Linked DNA regions of Arabidopsis thaliana. The protein of the gene in region 3 interacts with the protein of the main gene of each other region in a pairwise test. Each region holds a gene or a part of one and is shown on either strand. Other genes may lie near its edges.

Evidence for each region.
Region 1: the proteins of AT1G55805 (region 3) and GRXS17 interact in a two-hybrid assay, tested with the Arabidopsis thaliana proteins (one study listed by BioGRID).
Region 2: the proteins of AT1G55805 (region 3) and GRX4 interact in a two-hybrid assay, tested with the Arabidopsis thaliana proteins (one study listed by BioGRID).

The regions. Positions count from the first base shown.
Region 1 is NC_003075.7:2,515,015-2,523,552, forward strand, and holds GRXS17 (thioredoxin family protein), read right to left. Parts: upstream 5,049-8,538; 5' UTR 4,911-5,048; coding exon 4,740-4,910; intron 4,658-4,739; coding exon 4,583-4,657; intron 4,089-4,582; coding exon 2,868-4,088; 3' UTR 2,582-2,867; downstream 1-2,581. Other genes in the region: AT4G04940 (transducin family protein / WD-40 repeat family protein), read right to left, coding at 193-275, 361-536, 919-1,162, 1,271-1,474, 1,568-1,668, 1,803-1,830, 1,913-2,038; ALN (allantoinase), read right to left, coding at 7,287-7,418, 7,520-7,618, 7,757-7,867, 7,943-8,053, 8,126-8,281, 8,365-8,491. UniProt on the Arabidopsis thaliana protein: May only reduce GSH-thiol disulfides, but not protein disulfides. Participates probably to the maturation of iron-sulfur proteins and to the regulation of the redox state of the BOLA proteins.
Region 2 is NC_003074.8:5,305,113-5,313,182, forward strand, and holds GRX4 (glutaredoxin 4), read right to left. Parts: upstream 4,513-8,070; 5' UTR 4,272-4,512; coding exon 4,200-4,271; intron 3,923-4,199; coding exon 3,782-3,922; intron 3,696-3,781; coding exon 3,596-3,695; intron 3,484-3,595; coding exon 3,417-3,483; intron 3,243-3,416; coding exon 3,164-3,242; intron 3,073-3,163; coding exon 3,022-3,072; 3' UTR 2,653-3,021; downstream 1-2,652. Other genes in the region: AT3G15650 (alpha/beta-Hydrolases superfamily protein), read left to right, coding at 894-924, 1,037-1,148, 1,412-1,505, 1,601-1,670, 1,759-1,863, 1,973-2,123, 2,206-2,288, 2,387-2,480 and 1 more; AT3G15670 (Late embryogenesis abundant protein (LEA) family protein), read right to left, coding at 5,029-5,652, 5,736-5,789.
Region 3 is NC_003070.9:20,855,778-20,862,849, reverse strand, and holds AT1G55805 (BolA-like family protein), read left to right. Parts: upstream 1-3,366; 5' UTR 3,367-3,411; coding exon 3,412-3,894; 3' UTR 3,895-4,240; downstream 4,241-7,072. Other genes in the region: UKL3 (uridine kinase-like 3), read right to left, coding at 72-266, 343-422, 556-652, 865-983, 1,096-1,165, 1,267-1,358, 1,436-1,577; AT1G55803 (ferredoxin-fold anticodon-binding domain protein), read left to right, coding at 4,615-4,795, 5,025-5,227; AT1G55800 (uncharacterized protein), read left to right, coding at 5,271-5,992, 6,062-6,065; AT1G55790 (ferredoxin-fold anticodon-binding domain protein), read left to right, coding at 6,781-6,967. UniProt on the Arabidopsis thaliana protein: May act either alone or in interaction with glutaredoxin as a redox-regulated transcriptional regulator, or as a factor regulating Fe-S cluster biogenesis. The glutaredoxin-BOLA1 heterodimers bind a labile, oxygen sensitive iron-sulfur cluster.

The sequences.
Region 1 (8,538 bases), on a different chromosome or scaffold from region 3:
TAAGAAACACAAATATTCATCACTACACAGATAGTCAACTGGCAGGGATCATAAATGGAATTACTTTAACAACGAATAGGGATCATAAATGCTACTTACACACCAAAATGTATAAAGTCTCACAATAACGAAAGAAAAGCTAAATGGAAGCAATCAGATAATTCAGTATGATGTGGACGTCAAGCTAATTACCTGATACATAGAGGAGGAGCACTATGCCCAGATCGGAAGCGTAATAGGCGAGGATCACCATCATTTGTGTCAAAAATCCACATCTACAGGAACGAGGCATAAAACAAATATTATATGTGGCAAAGTGGATGCAAATAGGTTCAACGGGTAAGAGGAATCTTAGCTTACTTTAAGTGAGTTATCTGCTGATGCACTCATTAGCACCGGCTCATTGGCTAAAAAGTTCAATGAGATTATAGAACTGTCATGTGCATCCCTAATGACTGACTGAAGCCTTTTTTTGTTAAGATTCCAGATGCTTATGACACCAAAGGAACCTCCAGACGCAAGAAGGGGACGTCCATCTAACATGACAGGATAAACAACACATGTTAGAACTGGAAAGTATCGAACTTCCATTAGCTATAGAACGGTTACTACCAAAAGTTACTAGTAAAATTACAACCTACACTAATGGATCTCTTGAGCCTGAAACATGTATGGACAATTCTAATTCATGAAACAATGGGTGCATAGATGGTAAAGCTATGTAATGGAAAAATAAATATTTAGCTCCACTTAAAGACAAATGGACGAAATTATTTTTGGTCACTACACTCATAGGATATCTATCAGCAAGAAAAGATTGATAAACTATTATCCGCTACGAAATTAGATTTAAAAGGTAATAAAACCAAGAAGCGCTCAAAGATTTTACAAATAGAACTACAGGGCTTAGGTGTTTACCTGTACTGAAAGACAAAGCAGTAACAGCACCTCGCGAGGCATGTTCAAATGTTACGATCTCTTCGTCCAATTTTATGTTATGTACATGGATCTTTCCATCAGCACAACCAATTGCAACAACATCCAGGGCAGGGGATGAAACACAACTGGTGACAGATGAACCCCAACCCTTAAACTGATAGAGCATCTTCTTAGTATTAATATTCCATAGCTGCAGCGGACCCTCTTGGCTCCCTACAAGAACCTACCAATGTGGTTCCAAGTAAGAGAAACATGCAAAGAGTTAGAAAGGCTTGTCAACAGAAGACACCAGGGGAAAAAAAACTGAAATCCTGAACCAAGTATGACTCACCTTGTTGAGATAGGTATCTGGGTGAACAATAGAGGTAGGGGTAAACTTTCCAGTAAGCTGAAGATTTCCAATTGGAGCTAGATGTTCTTCGATTCCTTTGAATGCCCATATGAACATATTTCCTTCCACGTCAAGACTAAGCACATGTTCTCCAAACACCAGTAGAAGATCAACTTTAGCAACATGTTTGCTCCAAGTTGCTACCTATAGATATACCCACAAGAATTCCAACTATAAACAAAGTACTCATAGATATAAAAAAAGCAGCAACTTAACTATAGTTACAATGAGATATACCTGATGAGCACGCCTAAAGACAGCGATTTCATTGCCAAACGCAACAAATGTGTAGTCTCGGTAAGAAGCTAAAGCTCTAATTTTCTTTGGAAGCTGAGGACCTTTAAGATAACACAAATTAGATTATAAGAAAATTTACACTGCATAGACAAAACCCAATTCTAAATGCATGAATTTGAGTAAGAGAATGATTGAAAGGACAAAACTTTAGGTTTCAGAAGAAGGAAAAACTTACTGATTATGACTAGATTGAGCTTGGCACACTGCAACAAGAGAACCAAATTAACAACAGAATCGAATGAATAAAGAACACGCAAGTGAAACTATGAAGATTGGGAGCGTTACATTATAAATCTGGAAAGCTTTGCCGACGCTGACGGTGACGAAAGTCTCGGTACCCAATCGCTGGACGGAGAACGGAACCGTACTCGTTATGTAACCTATTGCTCTAAACGGTTCGAAAATTCCCATCTTTCGAGTTCGAACAAGAAATTAGGGTTTCCTCGGAAAAACGATTTTAGGATTATCAAATCAAAGAAAGGTTTTTTAAGAGCTTGAGAGAGAAAACGCGGCGCAGGAGCGATGGAGGAGATACAGCAAACAAGACCTTTGGGGTTTAGGGTTTAACGAAATTTCTTTGTCCGAATTTTAATTTTATTTTCCGGTTTAAGTGTCCGCTCGGTTTATACAGGTTCTTTATTTGGTTTGGAGAATGTTAAATTTGGTTTGGTAAAATTATGGTTCGGTTTTGGCTAAAAGTCATTGAAATGTAAAACCAAAACCATTTTAGTTTAATATTTAACTAATTGTCAATATCAGTATCAATTTTAAAATTATGATGACTTTTGGTTTAAATCTTGTTTAAATGTACAAAGTCTCGGTTAATGCTCGATTGCAGTTTGGTCTAAACTCTAAACAAATGATTTCCATTCGGTTTGATTCTAAGAAATTTGAGTTTAATCACACAAAATCCCAGCCGTCGGATCTTAAGAAACTCTGTAACATAGAAAGATTGGTGTTAATCCTAGCCGTCGGATCAAGCTTTCTTTGTTTAAACCACTCTTTGTTTTGTTACTCAGTCTAAAAGCAAATGTGGTCAAGATAACCATAAATAAAGATTATGTTGATACAAAGAGAGAAAAATAGTTATGAATCTAATAGACTCAGCAATAGAAATAACAAGACAAAGCTTGAGAAGCAACAATATCAATGTTTGTAACACCTAAAACATATTATTACCATAACTGAAATGTTCTCTCTCACCAAGGCAAACCAGCAGACAGAGACTTGTATATATTACTTACTCGGATAGAGTTGCTTTGAGATCACCACTCTCACTTAGCTCCATAATGATATCACATCCTCCAATTAACTCACCTTTGTAGTATAGCTGAGGAAAAGTTGGCCAGTTTGAGAAATTCTTAATCCCTTGCCTTACTTCTTCATCAGTCAAGATATCAAACGATCCGAAACTCACGTTTTCTCCTCTCAATGCTTTCACAACTTTGGAGCTAAATCCGCATTTCGGTTCATCTGGTGAACCTTTCATGAATAGCATTACTTCCGAGGAATTGATCAGTGCCTTCAATCTATCTTCAAGACTCTGTTCTCCAGTGATCCCTTTCTCGGTCAAGACCTTTTTCAGCTCACCGCTCTTTTGCATCTCCAAGACAATGTCTGATCCACCCATAAGCTCGCCTTTCACGTAAAGCTGAGGATAGCTTGACCAGTTTGAATACACTTTAAGGCCTTGGCGAACTTCGTCATCTAAGAGGATATCGAAACTCCCAAACTCGATTTTTTCTTGGTTGAGGATTTCAACCACTTTCCCACTGAACCCACACTTTGGTTCTTCTGGTCTTCCTTTCATGAACAGCATAACTGGTTTGGAATTGACCAGACCTTCGAGCCGAGCTCGGAGGGTCTCACTTAAGCCTGTGTTTCCTGAACTAACCCCTCCTCCTTTTCCAGCTTCATCCTGACTTTCTTTTGAACCAACTGTCGTGATCCCAAGATCTTTGAAAGCATCTTTTAGTTCACCGCTCTCGTGCATCGCTATTGCGATATCAGCTCCACCAAGAAGCTCTCCGTTGCAGTACAGCTGAGGAAACGTTGGCCAGTTAGAGAATTTCTTCAAACCCTCTCGCACTTCGTTATCCGATAGTATGTCAAAACTTCCAAAATCAACGTTAACCTCTTTCAAAATGTCAACTACTTTCCTGCTAAACCCACACCTAGGCTCTTCAGGAATACCTTTCATGAATAACATGACAGGGTGAGAATTAGTGAGCTTTTCCAAACGGCTCTTGAGAGCATCGGCGGTAGATACAGGCTGAGCTCGGTCTTGTAAAGAAGCTTTCGCATTCTCCTTCACAGTTTCAAGAATCGTTGGCCCAGCAGCCAACCCTAAGCTTGCAGGAGCAGCAGGCTCCGCAGAAGTACTAGAACCAGCAACTTTGCCAACCTTATTAGCTAAACTTGATGGATCTGCACCCTCAAGTGTATCCACAGTTTTACCATCCTTCAATAAGAAAACGAATTCACAGTCAGAAGAAAGTAACAACTTTCAGAACAATCATTACAGTGCAGTGACAAAGATTCAAGCTTTGAACACACTCTCAATCCTATAAAGACAGAAAATTGCAACCAACCAATTAAAACAAAGAATCAATAAGTCTGGAGCTAAATGGATAGGCGAACCATCTTCTTCTACTACCTGATTAGATAAACAGCTTTCAGTAATCTAACAGAGACGCAAACTAATCAAAACAAAAACCCTAAATCCTAAACTTTCGATCAAAACATAGGGACAAAGATTCAAACTTTTGAACACACTCTCAATGCTATAAAGACAGAAAATTGCAACCAAACAAAGCAACATAAAGAATCAATAAGTATGACTTCATCAATGTCTTCTTCTTCTACCAAATTAGACAAACAACTTTAAGCAAAAACAAAAACCCTAAATCCTAAGTTTTGATCAAATCATAGGGAACAAAAAAAACGTAACTTTACCTTGAAGAAGACGAAATAAGGCACAGCAGCAACAGAGTAAGCCTCAGATATCTCAGGATGTTCCTCAGCTTCAACCTAAGAAGATAAAACCAATAACAGTCAAAAACCTCATTGAAAGTGATAAAATTTTGAATTGGTCAAGAGAACAGAGACGAACCCTAAAGAAGTGAGCACGAGGGAAATCAGTAGCGAGATGAGAGAAAACTTGATCCATCTGCTTCGAAGCATCACACCAAGAAGCCCAGAAGTGAAGCACGACTGGTGCGCCGCTCTGGCGCAAGTTATCAAGCTCCGCCTTTGAAACGATATCCTTCACCGTACCGCTCATCTTCGAAGAGGGAGAAGGATCTCTTAACACTTTTTTTTTGTGTTGTGATTTACCAATTTATTATCGAGCAGAATACACTCTGTTGCTGGAGAAAGAAAGGAGATTTATGTAAATATAACAAAATAAAAGGACCTAACGATACAATTAGGGTTTTTGTGTGCCCAATGTGATGCTAAAATTGCTCACTTATGTAATTTCTTTTTATAAAAATAGTAAAATTATATATGTCAGCGGAAGGAAAAAAAAATTGGAAATTAAGTAAGGTAAAAATGTTAAAATTCTAGGTGATAACAATCTTTAAAAATAAAATAATTTTGAAAAATATTAGATACATTTAAATTAAAACTACTAAAAGTAAGTTTGACTAATAAAATCTTAATCCTATTTTTTTCTTTCTAAAATTAATACTAATTAGAGGAATTGTATATATCAATCCTCATCGAATTGGATTCTCATAAAACAGTCTAAGAATTAGGTTACAATTCTTTTTTTCTCCTTTGTTTTGTATGTGTGGAATTGTTTAATTCTGTTATATTAAAAATCCACAATTATTTTAGCATTTGTATTTTTAGTTATTTTATTATACTATCTTTTTTTTTAAATGATATAATATATAAGCTTACATCATTTAGATAATTGATGCATCTATTAATTTTTGTGTAACATCACTATTTAAAATGATACAAAATTTACATCAATGGAAACTGATACTAGTTAACGACTAATCATCGACTATAAAATGTGATGTAAATGTTTACTTAATTTGTCAAAATCCTACATTTCTCCCACAAAAAAAGAGGTTTCATAGTTTTCTTACATATAGTGACCTTGGTTTTTTGGTGGTGTAAAAAAATATAAAACTTAGTATGCAAAGTTTGCCTTCATATTAATTAATGAAATTACATAATACTTTTTAAAAACAATTAATTGAAAGTCATTTTATTTAATTAACATCGATTATCCTACTATATTATTTGGGAAGTACATTTTAAATGTAACCTTTATTTTTGTAATTAATTACATGATAATGCCATTAGAAAAATTTAATCAAAAACAAAACTCTTTAATGACGTCATTAAGGTTACCAAAACTTTGATAAATATAACGTGGTCTTACCTAGATATTCCTCTGGGTATTCTTGTGATTCAATTATGTTCACGTCTGATCGGCGAAGACGTTTAATAAGGGGTTTGTTCTCGGTGAGAAACCTTTTCCGAACATAAGCATCTACAGATCGGATGTAGAACCCACGTTGAGCCATAGTTTGTTTCATATTGTCAAGAACCGTTTTCAAGCTCAATTTCTTAGGGATGTGAACATATTCTACATCCCACAATTCCTTAAGAAAAAAGAAAAAAAAGTATACTGATCCGAAAACAATTAACAAAAAGCGAACAATATACTACTACATTACCTTCATAGGCTGCAATCCACCTCTATTAGTGACCACGTTGGTGCTTAGATCTTGCATTGGAGGAAATCCTTTTGGATGAGGAGTTTTTGATTTTGATAAAAACTCATCTCTACCACGTTCAACTTCTTTCTCTTCCTGTTTCTTCACACTGCGTCTTCCCTTTCCTCCAGGTTTTCCTCTTCCTCCAACCATTGTTGACAGAATCGGCGCAAAATGAGGGTTCAGACGAAATGATGGAGGTTTGTACGTATTCTACACCCTCGGTGATTTATTATATAAATATCAATTTAAGAGAATAACCTACTCAAATCACTAACTAATCCATGATTATTATATACTCATACTTTGAGTTTGGATTACAAAAAAAATATTCGAGTATGAAAAAACTATTAAAATGGTTTTATTGAAAAATCATGTAATATTAAAATAAATTTAGTAATAGTACATTAAATATGTAAAATAAAATAATATAAAAATAAATAATAAATGTATCATTAACCTATAAATTAGAAGTTGAAGAGCTTACATTAATTATTTAATAGACACATGACAAATATATATGATTTTGACCAACTTTCATATATATGATTTTGATAAACTGATGCAAATACTTAGAACACTTACAAAAAGTGATTTAAAAAGATAACATCTTTTTTTTTAGTTGACTCAAATTAACATTAGTTACAACAAGCAATGCAAATATTATGTATACTTTTAAATTATTTGCATCAACAATATATACATCATTTACTTAAGCGATATAAATTATTTGCATCAACAATATATACATGAGTCCACTAACCTTAAAGCCAACAACAAGATTTAGAGAGTCTTAAACTTACAATTGGCAAAAAAGACTCACTCATTACATCAACCATCTTGCAACATGAGAGCAACTCTTAATCGCATATTTACATTTGTTTAAATGGTGCAGATCAAGATCTTTTAAATCCCTTTTTAAGTTAAGTAGTTGCAAGTTGCAGAGACCCGCAAGCATCAGAAGCATGCTTGCCTTCTCCAAAAACCAAGTTCCCTCTCACAAATGTCGAAACCACTTTGCCTGATAATCTTCTTCCCAAATAAGCTGAGATACTCTATTGTACACCACAAGAAGCAAACATAACATAAAGATTACACATTCGTGTTATTCGAGCTTAACCATTAGCTATCTTTCTAGAAAAAACTGTGTACTTACAGGGTGTTTGAAGTGAATTGGATGATCTTCATCTACATCAAATTCGGCTTCAGGTTCCCACACAACAAGATCTGCGTGTTTTCCAACCGTAACCGCTCCCTATAATTAAACCATTACTTATAAGCTGCGATAAATGGACCCCGAATCCTAATAAAAACACGTCTATATTATGCCAGTGTGCTGTGTATGGACAAAAAAGAGAATACTGAAGCTGCGTTTTTTTTTATAATAACGAACCTTAGAGTGTAGTCCAGCGAGTTTGGAAGGCCTATCACTCCACCAAGAAGTTACCTGCTCGAGCGTTACTCCATACTTTTTTCCATAAGACCATGTGATAGGAAGAACAAACTGCAATTGGCTCTTCCATGAGTTTTTTTGTGCTCTCACAGTTTCTACATATTACATTTTTAAGACTAAACGAACCTGTAAAGAAGATATCCCACCCCAAGCTTTCAAGAAGTTGCCATCACTCATAAGTTTGAGTTCAGGCTTTGTAGGTGAATGATCAGAGCTCAGCATATCAATGTCTCCTTCCTAATCAAATCAAAACCTCAGAATCAACGAGTAAGGTATCACAACAAAGATTGCGTAAAATATATATTATACCATCAAAGCTTCCCACAATTTTTCTCTATTTGCCGCATCACGTATAGGAGGGGAGCATTTGAAACGAGTATCACCTTCTGGAATCTCTTCGGCTGAGAAAGCTAGGTAATGTGGACATGTTTCAACAGTAACACTGTCTCCTTTGCCTTTTGCTTCCTTTACTCCATCCAAAGACAAAAAAAATATGTAATGAGATACAACCAAATTCTAGTGCTTCTACTGCTTGAACTCTTGAATACCTTTATCAAATCCAAGGAAGAACTGGCATCAGATAAATGTACAATATGAAGATGAGCTCCTTCTGCAGAACCACCAATTCTTGTGTTTTCAGTAACCGATAATAGGTTTCTGATTGCTCCCTCCTCCCTAATTGCTCAAATAAATATTCCTTTCAGGTACAATGATGACTCTGT
Region 2 (8,070 bases), on a different chromosome or scaffold from region 3:
GAGAGGGCAGAGTAATGAAAGAAGCGTTGAAAGGAGATAGAGAAAAGATCAAAGTCTTTTTTGGTTTATTGCTGCATGCTCCACATGAAAATCCAGCTTGGTCACTTATGTTTCTTACGCATCATCATTACACTCAGTGCTCTCAGATTTCTCAAATCCAAGAACCCTAAAATAAAATATGTAATTCCTTTTCCTTTGTACATTGTGTAATGCAAATTTTTAAATCTTTTATTTTTTCTCGTAAAGTTTCAGACTTTTTAAGCTTTCTGGTTAATGGGTATCCATCAATCATCTCACTTTTGTTTTTCATATATATTTCATTAAACAAATGATTGAACAAGTAGATTTTTTCTTTCTTTTTCAATTTTGGATTATGCCCTCATGTTTCTTGTAATATATATACATACTTGTGTTATGCTATAATATATTCTTTTACGCGGTAGAGTTTTTATTTTCCTCCACTGCCACAAGGCATTGATTCTCTCTTTCTCTCTCTCTCCTCTGTGTAGTTTTGCCGCTAGCTCTGCTCTGGTTTTGATTTTGATTCCTTGTGTTCCCAAAAAGATTTATTTCTTTTGTTTTTATAACGAGAAAAAGAGAAGAAAATTGATTGTCTCTTTCCATGGATGCCTTCTCTTAGACTACGACTAGTATAGTTTTTTTTTTTGTGTAGCTGTTGTACACATTTAACATCCCATAGTGAATGATTCAGATTCACATTTCTTTTCTTTTATTCCTTCCTCTCACCATCACACCTCCAAATTTGCTCTATAAATACACATTTCCCCTCCCTTACCTTCTCTTATATTTTCCATTGGTATTTCAAACTTTTAACTACTATATCACAACAAAGTCTCTAAATTGTGGTGAAAAAAGATCATTGAACAACAACAATGAGCTATTCTCGTCAAAGCATGGGTTCTGGTTTGTTTCTCACTTACTTGTTTGGTTCATGTTAGTATTATCTTAAGTGTGTCACTTGTGTGCTTATGTGATTACTCTGCTTTATATATGTTTCTGGCAAAATCTTTTGTAGGTAGTAGAAGTACAAGGGGCTATGAGTTTGGAAGGACTTATGTTGTGAGGCCTAAAGGAAAGCACCAAGCTACTATTGTTTGGTTGCACGGTCTTGGAGACAATGGCTCCAGGTATTATAATACTATCTCACTTGCCTTGTTTTTATGAACAAAATCAAGTAATAAAGAAAGTTTTATGCTTTGAAAGCTTAAAGTCATACTTGTCAAAACAATGCCTAAATGACTTTAATAGATATCAAAACAAACTCTTCTTAGGACAAAACTTAACACTTTTCCTCTGTTAGTTGAACAGTTTCAAGTATAAATGTGTTATGAAAAGCTTTAACTTTTTGGTTTAATTGACTACTACAAATAAAATGAGCTTTAGAAAGTAGAATTTTGGCGTGTTCTTTGATAACAACTTCTCACTTTGGCTCTGTTTCTTTCTGCAGCTCGTCTCAGCTATTGGAAAGCCTACCTCTTCCAAACGTAAGGATCCATGGAAACAAACTTGGAAGTAATTTTTTGTATCACTAAATATTCTTAGTGAAGGTTCTGATAAAAGATATATGGTATTCTGTCAGATCAAATGGATTTGTCCAACTGCTCCTTCGCGTCCTGTTTCGCTTCTCGGTGGATTTCCTTGCACTGCCTGTAAGATCATTCAGTTAGCTTCTCTAGACTTCATCAAAACATTATTTTAAGCGTTTGCCAATAAAACCAATTTCTTTGCTCCTCTCAGGGTTTGACGTGGGAGAAATTTCTGAGGATCTTCATGATGATATAGAAGGCTTAGATGCTTCAGCTGCACATATTGCTAACCTATTATCTGCTGAGCCAACAGATGGTAAGCCAACCATGAGTTATATATATCTTCATTCCTTTGTCACAGGTCTTGATATAATATATCATAATCTCTAGCTTAACTTGAAAATGTTATTTGTGGTTTGTGTCAGTCAAAGTTGGGATAGGAGGTTTCAGTATGGGTGCAGCAATAGCTCTCTACTCCACGACGTGCTACGCTCTTGGACGTTATGGAACCGGACATGCTTATACTATAAACCTACGAGCTACTGTAGGACTTAGCGGTTGGCTTCCTGGTTGGAGGTATAAATATATGTCTTCAACCCTTTCTTGTCACTTGTTAACACAGAGACTTAACATTGAAAGCTTAAACATAACAATGCAGGAGCTTAAGGAGCAAAATAGAAAGTTCGAATGAGGTTGCAAGGCGCGCTGCATCGATACCGATCTTACTTGCACATGGAACTTGTATGTTTACATATATCATTATATGATTTACTGTTTCAAGATAAAATCACCGAAGAGAATCTAGAATTTTATTCACTTTATGTGTTTTTTGGTTGCAGCGGACGATGTAGTTCCTTATAGATTTGGAGAAAAATCTGCTCATTCACTTGCCATGGCTGGATTCCGACAAACTATGTTCAAACCATATGAAGGGTAACTGTTCAACCTATATCCCAAAGTTATCATTATCAATCTAGTTGTTTTAGTCTGAGATTGTGAGGTTTTAATGTGATTGTGTAGGCTTGGTCACTATACGGTTCCTAAAGAAATGGATGAGGTGGTTCACTGGCTCGTCTCAAGGCTTGGTCTCGAGGGTTCGCGTTAAACTTTACAAGCATCTTCTCAGCATCTCTATAGCTATTATACGATGGTGTAGAATATTTATATTATATATATAAGGGGTGGGGGGTTTCTTGGGGTATACGGTGTTCTCTCATGTTTCTACTGTTTTGTGATTTATTCATGCTTTTCTACTGTTCGATTCTTGATTATGAATAATAAAATAAATAAATAAGGCTCGTTGGGCTTCTTTGATTTTGCTATCTTAGTTTACCAAAGTTTTTATTCATACGAAATCCAAAGATTTTTGAGTTTCTGAGACATTATTTTACCGTACATGAAAAGACATTCTTATGAAAAGAAAGAACAAAAACATAATAACTTCCACTCGTCAGCATAACTTCCAAACTTTGGATCAATCTTGGTTTCCGGAGACGTCTTTAAGCTTCTGCTCCAATTCACCTTCCTAGAATAGTAAAAGAGACTTGTGATTAAACAAACACAATGGAAACGGGGGAAAAAAAAGTCAAACAGGGTCTGCTTTAAGTGGAACTAACCTTGTGCATGTTAAGGATGATGTCTGAGCCGCCAATGAACTCTCCCTTAATGAAGATCTGTGGAAACGTAGGCCAGTGGCTGCAAAGAAATAAAGACTTGAAAATCAAAGGGAGGTCTAGATCATATAGGTCAAAGATTAAGGAATGAACGGTAACGAACTTCAATAACAAAGCCAAACTTTATGAAAAAACTTTGAGAATGAGATTATACAACTCTCTGTATGAAACTTTCATTAAGTGTCCACATACTCACCTGAAGGATTTCACAGCGTTTTTCAACTCTTGGTCTTCTAGAATGTTTCTAGAACTGATAGGAACATCTAAAGAAGGATATCACAAGATAGTAGATCAGAACACAGAGCCTAACGCCAATAGTAAAGAAAATTCACAGAAGGCTTCTTCAGTTTCAATCAACATTTCAACAAAACTTACTATATTGCTGCAAAACTCTGACGGCTAGTGAGCTAAACCCACACTGAGGAGATTCAGGGACACCTTTCATGTAGATCATAACAGGATTATCCTTCACATCCTACACAACCACCAAAGCTAAAACAGCATTAGCAAACACCTAACAAAGAAACATTCAACTTCAAATCTAGAGAAGCTGGAGTGTACATTCTCAACGATATCTTTAAGTGAGTCCGTAGAATCGGGAGGGACTTTTTGTGTAGGCTTGAAATCATCATGTGTATCTGAATCACTTGGCACTGTTGAGGAAAATCTCATCATCCCATTTTGGTAGACTGATGCAGACGTCTGCAAACAAAAACCACATCATTCTTCTCCATGTTAAATTCAACTATCAAATGATCATCAATACCATCTTCTATTGGAAACAAATTCATTTTCACATAATTCAAAACCATACGCTCACGTAACTATCTAATCCGGTTCAACTAACAAAAGAATCAGAACCTCAAATGTTATATAAAGGAGCAATTTTTAAGTGATTCAAGATGGGAAAAGAGAAAACTTTATTGAGCAAACATTAGATACATCAAAATTGAGTAAAAGGGTTATGAGAGAATCTAACCAATCTGCTAGAACGAACAGCTTTGAGATTAGCGATTCCTTTTATAAGTCTGCTCGATAAAGAAGCCGCCATCTCTAAATCACGCAGATTTCTTCAAAGTGTTCCGCGGTTTTGTTTAATCGAAATCTGTCTAGAAAACTATCAAGAACAGGAATGAGAAAAAAAGATTAGAGAGGGTAGCTACGAGGAAGAAGGACGGAGCTAGAGATCTTTACAATGTCGCGACCGCTTCTCTTCATCTCCAGTGACCGACCCAGAGAACGACGTCGTGTCATTACTCATAACCCTAAGATGTTATACGATGTCGTTTCGGATGGTCACCAAAGTATACGTCCGTTGACGTCTTGATAAATTTATTTGGTTTGCTCGGTTTAGATAAATTACTATTCAATTTTTTTGGTTTACTTCTCTCATTTTAGTAGATCTATGAAATTGAACGATTCGTAAAACGTAAAAGCAGACACAAATGTTTTATTGAAATTTTTGATAAAAGAAATTGAAAGATTAGTAAAACCCGTTTGGATTAGCAGCTATATCTGTATAATGCTAATGCTTGATGACCAACATACGAAGTGGACCATGATGTGTATTAATAACTGTTTATTGTAACAAAAATAGAAATTTGAGAACACATAAGTTGTAACAGGATCAAATCTAAACTTATTGGCTGGAAATTAGAAGTCTCCAGGATCACCGTCACAACAAGAAACACAGCTGAACCACAACCATAAAGAAAGACACAACGGAAATTACAAAAACACAAACACAAAACTCAAAAGACCAACTAACACAAAGATACTTTCATATCGTTCTCAATTTTGTTTTCTCATCACTTCCTCTGATAAGTCTGATGAGTCGGATCAGTGGTTCGAGTAGTTGCAGTAGTGGTAGTAGTACTTCCTGGATAATGCTCTTTGTCTTCTTCCTCAGTAGCCATCCCAAAAGTATGCTTCACTGCATCAGCTGCACCCATTGCCATTTGCTTAACATGCTCACCAGTCTGGCTCAAGAATCCACCCGTCTTGTCTCTACCGGCTTCAGCCGTCTCCTTTGTGTACTGTGCCGCACCTTGAGCCGTCTCCTTTGTATACTGAGCAGCGTCTTGAGCCTTGTTCTTTATGGCTTCGCCTGTCTCCGATAAGTAGCTCCCGGCCTTGTCCTTGGCCTCGCGAGCTTTGTCGCCAGCTTGAGATGTCTTTTCTTTTGCTGCTTGCGTCGTCTCATGGGCCTTTTGCTGTGCCGTTTGGGCAGTTTGAGATGTCTTCTCTTTTGCTGACTGGGCCGTTTCATGGGCCTTCTGCTGAGCCGCTTGGGCAGTTTGAGATGTCTTATCTTTAGCTGACTGGGCTGTCTCATGGGCCTTCTGTTGGGCTGTTTGGGCCGTTTGAGAAGTCTTGTCCCGGCCCTCCTCAGCCTTGTCCCTCATCGTTCCCATAGCTTGTCCAGTCTTCTCCTGGTATTACACAGACAAATCATCTTAGAGCTTATATAATGTGGTTTTACGTATACACATACACAAAAATATATTCTTATTACCTGGGCCTTGCCTCTGGTCTCACCAGCTTTGTAGCTCTGTTGGTTGGATGCCATTTCTTTCTTCAAATGTGTATCAAACGAAACTAGATAAGTTTTAAAAGCTTTTTTCGTAAAAGTATTTGTTGTTGTAGTAGAAACTGTGATTTGTCTCCCCAAACCATCGGGACATTTGTAGTGTGTCTTGGTCGGCGGAGAAGAAGACACGTATTAGCACATTGAAACGTGTATAGCTGCGTGGTGTGTTGAGGTTAAAAGAAAATTAAAAAAATAGGAGTTTAGGGGTGTTGTGCTTTACGTTGCAAGCGTTAGTATGCGGTTTCTCGGTCTTGTCCGTGTTGTCCTCTGAGGTTGCGACACCTCATGGTTAAGAGGAAGATGCTTGCTACGTGGCAACACCATAAGTATCGTCGTCGCATGTTATGAGATTGCTAATTTTCATTTTTTTATTGTATCATGGAAATCGGCCGTCGGTCGGTACATGTTCCGTGACGTATTAACTATCAACTAACATTTAGATTATCACGATTAAAATACTCTTTAAATTATTATCTTCACTTACAAGAGCCAAACTTGATCTCATATAAACCAAGCAACTTCGAGGTTATTAGCTTTAACTACTCACCTTCACATAAATAGTGTGACAATTAGCCAAGGAAATTTGCCTTGTGTGAATCATATGCAAATATTTAGATGATGTAATTAGTATTGTATAAATACTACTAATTAACATTTAACTATAGTCTATAGACACACTGAGACAACTATCACTGCTACACAAGTGTGACAAATTTAGATGTAACCAATATACATATACGATGTCAGACAAAAAAAGGGGATGAGTACTAAAAAGTGTATTTATCAAACACAAATGAACCCACTACCAAGCCTCGAGCAAATTTTAGTGGCCTCCTTGATCAATGGATCCACTTAAAAAGAATTACATTGATATTTCAAAATTTTCACCAATTGATATATTCTCTACTTTCACTTTGATTACTTGAAAACATTGATCCAAAACGTGTTATGGATTAAAACATATATAAGAACAAATGAACAATATGGCACTCTTTTGGAACAAACGCCATCGCAAAACCACCGAGTCATCCCAATTATAAGTTTGACGGTAATAATTAATCGTTGGTGGCCATCTATTTGTAAGAAAATTGTTTTTGTTTTTTCCTTTTTCAAATTGTATTGAACGAAACCTTTTACTATGTTTAAAAACATTTTTGAGCGTTTGAGACCGTAATAAAGGTTTTGTTATTTGTTATGCTTGCAGTTAAAAAAGCTAATTACTTAATCTTGTAAAATAATAAACATAAAAGTAAAATGAAACTATGAAAGAGGTGATGCATGGATGGGAGTCCCAAAGAGAATCGAATCAGCTCAGTTCCTTTTTTTTTGTTTGCCCACTTTACTCTTCTCCAAGAGAATGGACTCCAGATATTAGCAGTTTCCCTCTCTTTTTTATTTTGTTAATTATAATAGAAAATTTTAGTATATTTCGAAGATTGCCCATTTTTGTGCTTTGTTCTAGTTAATTTTAAAAATTTTATGGGAATAAACAGCGAGAGAAATAAAGGAAAATTAAAGTGAGAAATAAAGGAAAAGATGGTCAAAACGAAAACATCGAAGAATTATTCCGTCACCATCACCCAAATTTATCTTTATTGAAACTCTCTATTTTGCCTCATCCCTTTTGATTTTCCCTTTATCTTTTCTTTTCCCCTCTTTTTATGTTTTTTTGACCCATAATTATACTAGATTTTATTTTGTTCACTATCATATTTGTATGGTTCTCTCATATCTATTATTTATCCCATCGACGCATTTGTAATCATTTTGTTGGTTATACCCTTTTAAACTTAAATTATATGAACATCTTCTTTACAAAACTTGGGAATGATTTTTTTTCCCGGTATTATTAATGTATTGATATTAAAACTGATATCAACAATATATTATGAGAGGTCATATGTTAGCTCAATTTTGTTCATAAACATCTATTTTACTAATAACATGAACCAAAAATTTGTAAATGTAATCAATGAAAACAAAGAATGATAACGATAAAACGAAATTATATGATACATATTATAGAGAAATTTATGTTCTAACAAACTAAATATATTATCTTTATGCATATTTGACTGCAACCTATTTTTTAAAAATTATATACTTGAATAAAATTGGGAACCCATGTATCACTCTATAGTAAATGAAAAAGTCAGAACACAGTTTAAAAAATGTTAAAATACAATAAGATTTTGTTTTTACCACTTTCAACATATAAATCGACGTAAGAGCTTCAATTATATTCGTTATTAATCCACTT
Region 3 (7,072 bases):
TCAGTCTTTTGGGTGACTAAACAAGAAAATGATTGTTGTTGAGTAGACGAGAAAAGGGGAATAAGTAAAACCTGAAAAGTTGATTGAATAACATAAAGATTTGGATAAATTTTACAGAGATCATGTTGACCGAGCTTCGTATGGATGTGTTGCACAATCAAATCAATAGCAACATGGTTATCACCACCTCGGGGAATTATTATATCTGCGTATTTCTTTGTTGGGAGTATGAAATCCTCAAATGCTGGCTTCACAAACTTTGAGTACTGCATAAGAGTTTCACACATGAAAACATAAATAAAGAAATTATTTGCAAAACAAGAATATACAGCCACACAAAACCTGGTCAAGAACAGTGGCAATATCTCTGCCCTTCTCAACAGTATCGCGTTTTATCCTTCTCGCTAGACGCACATCGGCATCTGCATAGATAACGCCATGATGTAAAATAAGAGACCAATGTGTTACCTTCATGAGTACATATACAAGTGCAGCGTCTCATATATGCTACGGATTTGACTACATAAGTGTTAACAGGTTTGGTATGGGAAAGACCTGCGTCTACAAATATCTTCATGTTCATCAAATCTCGCACCCGAGGGTCATGGAAAATGAGTATACCTTCCAGAATTATAACGTCAGAAGGATTCACCTGCAAATATATCATAAACAGAGAAATATTAGTATAAGCATGATTCTTATATAGGCTATGATGACAAGTTTATGTATCTGACAAACAAGAGTGCATGTAATTAGTATGGAATACACAAGAAAGCTAACCACTTGATCATGAGTTTGAGCTTCAGAAATTAGCAGAAAACTTTAAATGTCAGAAGTGACTAATTGACAAGTAAAGATTCTTACCCTTCTAGGTGGAAAAACATTGTTCTTGTAACTTTTGAAGTCATAATTAGGAATATCTACTGCTTGTCCTTTTCTTAACTTCTCCATGGAAGACAATAATTGCTCAGTATCGAAAGCGTCTACAAGACAAGGAAGCATATGACACACAATTCGTAGATTCAAAAGGCTAAGGGACACAGAACAGCGTGCATTAGATCAAAAGACCCATTAGTTTTTCAAAAACTTACTAACCAGGATGGTCAAAATTGTAATCATGAACTCTTACAAGCTCCACTTCATTTACATTATGGTAGAAAGAATCCTGCAAACAAAGATCAACCTCGGTGCATTATATATCGACTTACAAGAGCTTTAAAAAAATGGTTTATATTGTTGCATAATCATATCGAGGACAAGAATCACCTGATTTACAACAACAGCTCTCTGATCATGCAGTTGCTGCATAATCATATCACAGACAGTTGTTTTCCCGGATGCTGCACCTCCAGCAACTCCTGAAAACAACATTTTCTATTTAACATTTTCTGTTTCTAACCATCTTTGGTAAACTAAAATCCACCACGACTCTCACCGATCACAAAAGGTTGACCATGTTCTTCTTCCTCAGCCATTTGCTCTGGTCTATTTGAAGCTAAACCATCCATTTGATGAAATCCTGAGAAATGAACCTTTGAGGATGTCTCTATTATATTCACATCCGACTTTGAAGCCATTCCTACAACACAAATATGCAAATCTAAATTCACATGAAATATGCCAATAAGGAAAGCAAAGCTACCTTTGTTGTCACCATCCAGGAACAAAAAGGAACACTTTCCAGTCAAAAAACAATTCCTCAAAAGAATCAAACTTTTTAGTGATATTAGTTAGATGCCACAAGTGCCAATGCCGTGATACCCATTTTCTCAAATCCAGTATAACACACAAAACAATCAACCAATCATGATAGGCCACCAGATAATAGTAACGCCAATCCTAAACATGAAACCGTAACTTTTTCCCGGGTAAAAAAGGGAAAGAACAAAAAGAAAACAGAGATCAGAAGAGAAGAAAGCTAGATTTTTTTAGATCAATACATGCAAAAGAATTATAAGAAACGTTTCATCATCATATAAACCAATATAAACCGAATCAACATGAAGATAAAAACTCACGAAAAAAGAAAGAGGGATTGAATAAGCTTCGAGATCACCGATTAGATATAGCTAACAAAAGAGCTTCCAAGTTCCAGATAAAGAATCTAAACATATAAAGAGAGAGAGACACGAGCATTGCCTGTTAAACTCGATGCACAGACAAAAACTGGACTTATTAAAAATAAAATATATTGATAACGTATATAAGTGTATGTATATGCGTTGAAAGAGAGAAAAGAATGAAGGGAGGATGCAGCGGCGGTGACGGGTTTTTGCGGAAACCGGAAAGTGGTTTTTTTGGTTTTACGAAAGTACCCTTCCCACTGAGGGACGTGGTAGTGGCAATTCTCGTAAATGTGAGAGTGTTTGAGTCCCTAAAGTAGAGAGTGTGATCAAGGATCCACGTCAGATCCGAATAGGATGTAGGACCTACTATCGAAAGCTGCAGCTAAAAACGCAGTGATATAGATGCGTGTGGTCGAATGCAATCTTACGTTACTGCAAAATTATTTATTTTATACTATTTTGGATTACGTCTACAATAATTTGTTTATTCTGTTTTTATCCATAACATTTTAACTTCATATGTTTCCTCCAAATCTATTTACCTGAATTTTGTTTTTCGAAATATATAATTTACCAATTAATATTAGTTTTCTCAACATCTACACTACCAAAGGATGCTACAATGTAAAATATTATACACAGGAACAAAATTAGCATATTTACAATTTAATCTGCACGATTGTTTGTCTATAAAATTTGAAGGATATAATCAATTTCTTCTTTTAGTTCCGTAGATTTTTTTATGATTCATTAATGAAGTTTAGACCAGAGATTAGGATCCTTAAAAAATTTGGATGAGCAGCTTAGAACCACTTTAAAAATTAATTTTGTACATCCAAAATTATCGAAACAAACTATTACCCAAATCAAAGATATTGCCTTTACTTCAAAAACTGATTACAGTTTTGGGTATGTTTTAGCACTATACCATCTTATTCTTATCATACCATGATCTTCTTGGAGAATTCATCTAATACTATTTTGGTCATAAATCAACATTTCAAAAAATATCCACGTTACAATTGTAAATTGTTATTACTTAATTATGTCTTAAGTTTTTTAACCACACCAAAAAAATATTAAATCATATACACAAACATTTTTCGAATGTATTTGTTATTTGATTTCTCACACAAATGTGAAGAAGTATGAGGGTGTTTCGATACACTTTTAGAGTTTGTTTGTTTTTTTGTAATTTTTTTCTCACAAATGTGGGGTGATGTTATTATATTTGAAAATTTGTGGACCTTAATGCAAATAACGCCTCTAATAGTAGATTCGTGAAGATGATAAGCTGACAAAACGACAGCGTCTAATATAGTTTCGAGTTTCTTCGACAGTGGCAATGTTTTCATCTTCGATTAGGTTAATCGTATCTGGGTTCCACCGGACTCAACCCCTAAAATCGCCGGTAAATTCTCCGAGCGTCTTCATCTCCGTACCTAAATTCTTCAACTCTGAGTCAAAATCGACGGGAACTGGTTCAAGATCCGTAGCAATGAGCAGCGTTGAGAAAACCGGGTCGGATTCTGGAGCAATAGAGAATCGAGCGAGCAGGATGAGAGAGAAGCTTCAAAAAGAGCTCGAACCAGTGGAGTTAGTGATCGAAGATGTTTCGTATCAGCACGCTGGTCACGCCGGAATGAAAGGTAGAACCGACGATGAGACGCATTTCAATGTGAAGATCGTTTCTAAAGGATTCGAGGGAATGAATTTGGTGAAGAGACACAGGTTGGTCTATCATTTGCTCCGGGAAGAGTTGGATACTGGATTGCACGCTCTTTCTATCGTCTCCAAGACGCCGTCTGAGTCTCCTTCTAAAGACTAGTGTACTGGTACTGTTTAATGTATCTTCTGTTTCTGTTATCAGAGTTTCTCATCAAACTCTGTTCGATTCAAAGATTGAATTTTTACCATCAAAGTGCTCTGTTTTGGAATTTATTGCGGAGCCAAAGTCTTCATTTTTACATACGCTTGAGGTTGTGTGTTGGTGTTTCTGGAATTGTGTGTTGGAACAAAGACACTTGCTTTTAGTTCAATTCGAGTTCTGTCTTTTCTAGCATTCAAAACTATAATGGTCATAGCTTGATGAATTGAATTAAGGCTCCATTTAGTTGAAAGTCCAATCAATGGTCATGTGTTTGAATTCTCAAAGGAAGCTCGATTGTGCCGTGTTTGTTAGCTTGGAGCCAAAAGGGTTGTTTTTCCATGTTTCTGTCTCTTTCTTCTTCAGATTATTCTCCCATTGTCATCAATGGCGTTTGCGTCTTCTAATCGCTAACGCTAGAAACAAAACGCCTTTTCCAATAGTCCATGTCACCTTCCTTTAGCAACAAATATATGTACTTTATGGGCTTAAACCAAATCTAATCAGTGATCACCTTTTTCTTTTGTGGGTAAAGTGAATCGTCATTTCCATTGTCTGGAGAAGCTAAACCGTCCCTCTTCTATACATCAACAGAGCAAGTTACGTTAGTATATGTCCGAAGATAAATAAAACGAAAAAAAAACAACTTTCCAAACTATCATCATTTTCACTACATTGGCGATGAGGGAGCTCTCGGAGCTTAACAGAGACAGAGACGGTGATGAAGAAGTGTGGGTCAAACACTATTCATCCAAGCACCAGATACTTCTCGTAGGCGAAGGAGATTTCTCCTTCTCTTGCAGCTTAGCCACTTGCTTCGGCTCTGCTTCCAATATCTATGCTTCCTCTCTCGATTCATACGGTAACACTTGGTTTACTTACATTGTAAGAGTTATTAAGGTTTTGATTTCGTTATCACTTCCATTTCTGTGATCACTTACTAAGTTTTTGAACTTCCGGTGAATGATTTGATTATTCAAGATTTACACTGTTTTACTCTCTGTTTATAGATTATAAACCTGTTAACAAAGGTTGCAGCTTTAAGCTCGATTTCCTCAGTTGTTGCATGTCTTTTATGGTAATTAAACCAGATGATGTGGTTAGAAAATACAAGAATGCAAGATCAAATCTTGAAACATTGAAGAGACTTGGAGCTTTCCTTTTACATGGAGTTGATGCTACCACACTGCATTTTCATCCTGATCTTCGTTATAGAAGATTCGATCGTGTCATCTTCAACTTCCCGCACACCGGTTTCCACAGGAAAGAGTCTGATCCCTGTCAAATACAGTAAGTTCAACATTTTGAAATTACAAACACTTTCTTCTCGCAGTTGAATGTGTAGACCAGCTGCTGCAACTTTGAGGAATTTGTTTAAAGATTTTTTACATGGTGCAAGCCATATGCTAAGAGCTGATGGAGAAGTTCATGTCTCTCACAAAAACAAAGCACCTTTTTGTTATTGGAATCTAGAGGAGCTTGCTAGCAGATGCTTTCTTGTGTTGATTCAGCTTGAGGCGTTCGAGAAGAGAAACTACCCTGGTTATGAGAATAAGAGAGGAGATGGGTCTAGATGTGACCAACCTTTCCTTTTGGGAGAGTGCAGTACTTTCAAGTTCAGATTCTCTCGTGTCGCCAAGGAACTTTATGCAGAGAAGGTGAAGGAAGTAGAATCAAAGTGTCCCCGAGAGTTATCAACTCGGGCGATGAATAAGAAACATGCCCGTTTTGAAGACAGCTCGATACATCTTGAACTGCCAAGATGCACTAAACGGTTCAAAAGAGTTTCTCTTGAAATGCATAATGGAGAATTACAACGAATGGTGATACGGACGAGGTTTCCTCATCACTACACTAAAGAATCATCAGAAACACGCCGCCTACTTTGTCAAGACTATGCAGTACAAGCTAGCCAAGAACCGTTCCCTGAACGCTCTCTCCGATTCAGAGGAGTTTCTCATGGAATTCATAACGGGAGAGTACGAAAAATGTTAATACGGAACAGCACTGGAGAATCAAGAAAACTAAGAATGAGGAGGCAGAGGAACCTTAAAATCAGGTAAATATATCCTTGATAGTTGCTTATATTATGAAATAAACATGCTAAATCGATATTGAAATTTTGTAGGTGACTCATATCCAATAAACTTCAAGGAGCTTCTGAGGATAACTTTGATGGAAAGAAGATGACTGAAACTTGGACTCACTAACAAAGCTGCATTCTATGTTCTCTTTTGTTTATTAGGCTGATTACTGACAGCTCAAAACCGCAATGCTCTATATGGAGATAATCTTTTGTTGTAATTGTGTGTATTTATCTGGATGTTTTCCTTTTGGAGATTATGTAGTTGAAATGATTGTGAGTCTCGCGACTTGCATTGTGGAGAAAAATCCCATAAATCTCTTGTGATATATCCAACTAAGACCCTACGCCAGAAGGTTTGGTAGGACGCATTCTTAACGTAATACAGTATTCGGAGTAACTTGAAAATGTTATTGTAACCAATTCTTGTAGTCTGTAGACTATTATATACTAAGCTTAACCACTATTCCGAGTTACATTGGAACAACTCATAGGGTTTTGAATGGAGGTTGGGTACAAAACGAACTAAAACATGAGCGGACTAAAGTATCATATTTTTGGGGCGGGCACTAACACACACAACCTATATACAGAACGCATTAGCTTAATCAACAGAATCAATTTTGTGATGGCCTTTTGTTTTGGTTTCGCTAGATGAGAAACTGAACCGTCTCTCTTCTTAAATACAATAACGTTACTTTTGTTATTTTGAAAATTGAAAATTGAAAATAAAACCTTCCAAAGTAGCATCCTTTATCGCTGCAATGGCGATGAGAGAGCTCTCGCAGCTTAACAGAGACAGCGACGGTGATGAAGAAGTATGGGTCAAACACTATTCATCCAACCATCAGATACTTCTCGTCGGCGAAGGAGATTTCTCATTCTCTCACAGCTTAGCCACTCTCTTCGGCTCTGCTTCCAATATCTGCGCTTCCTCTCTCGATTCATACGGTAACACTTGGTTTACTTACATTGTCAGAGCTTTTAGGGTTTTTTTATTTCGTTTTCGCTTCAGTTTTCTATGTTTTAGGTTTTAGGGTTTTATGTCACTATTTT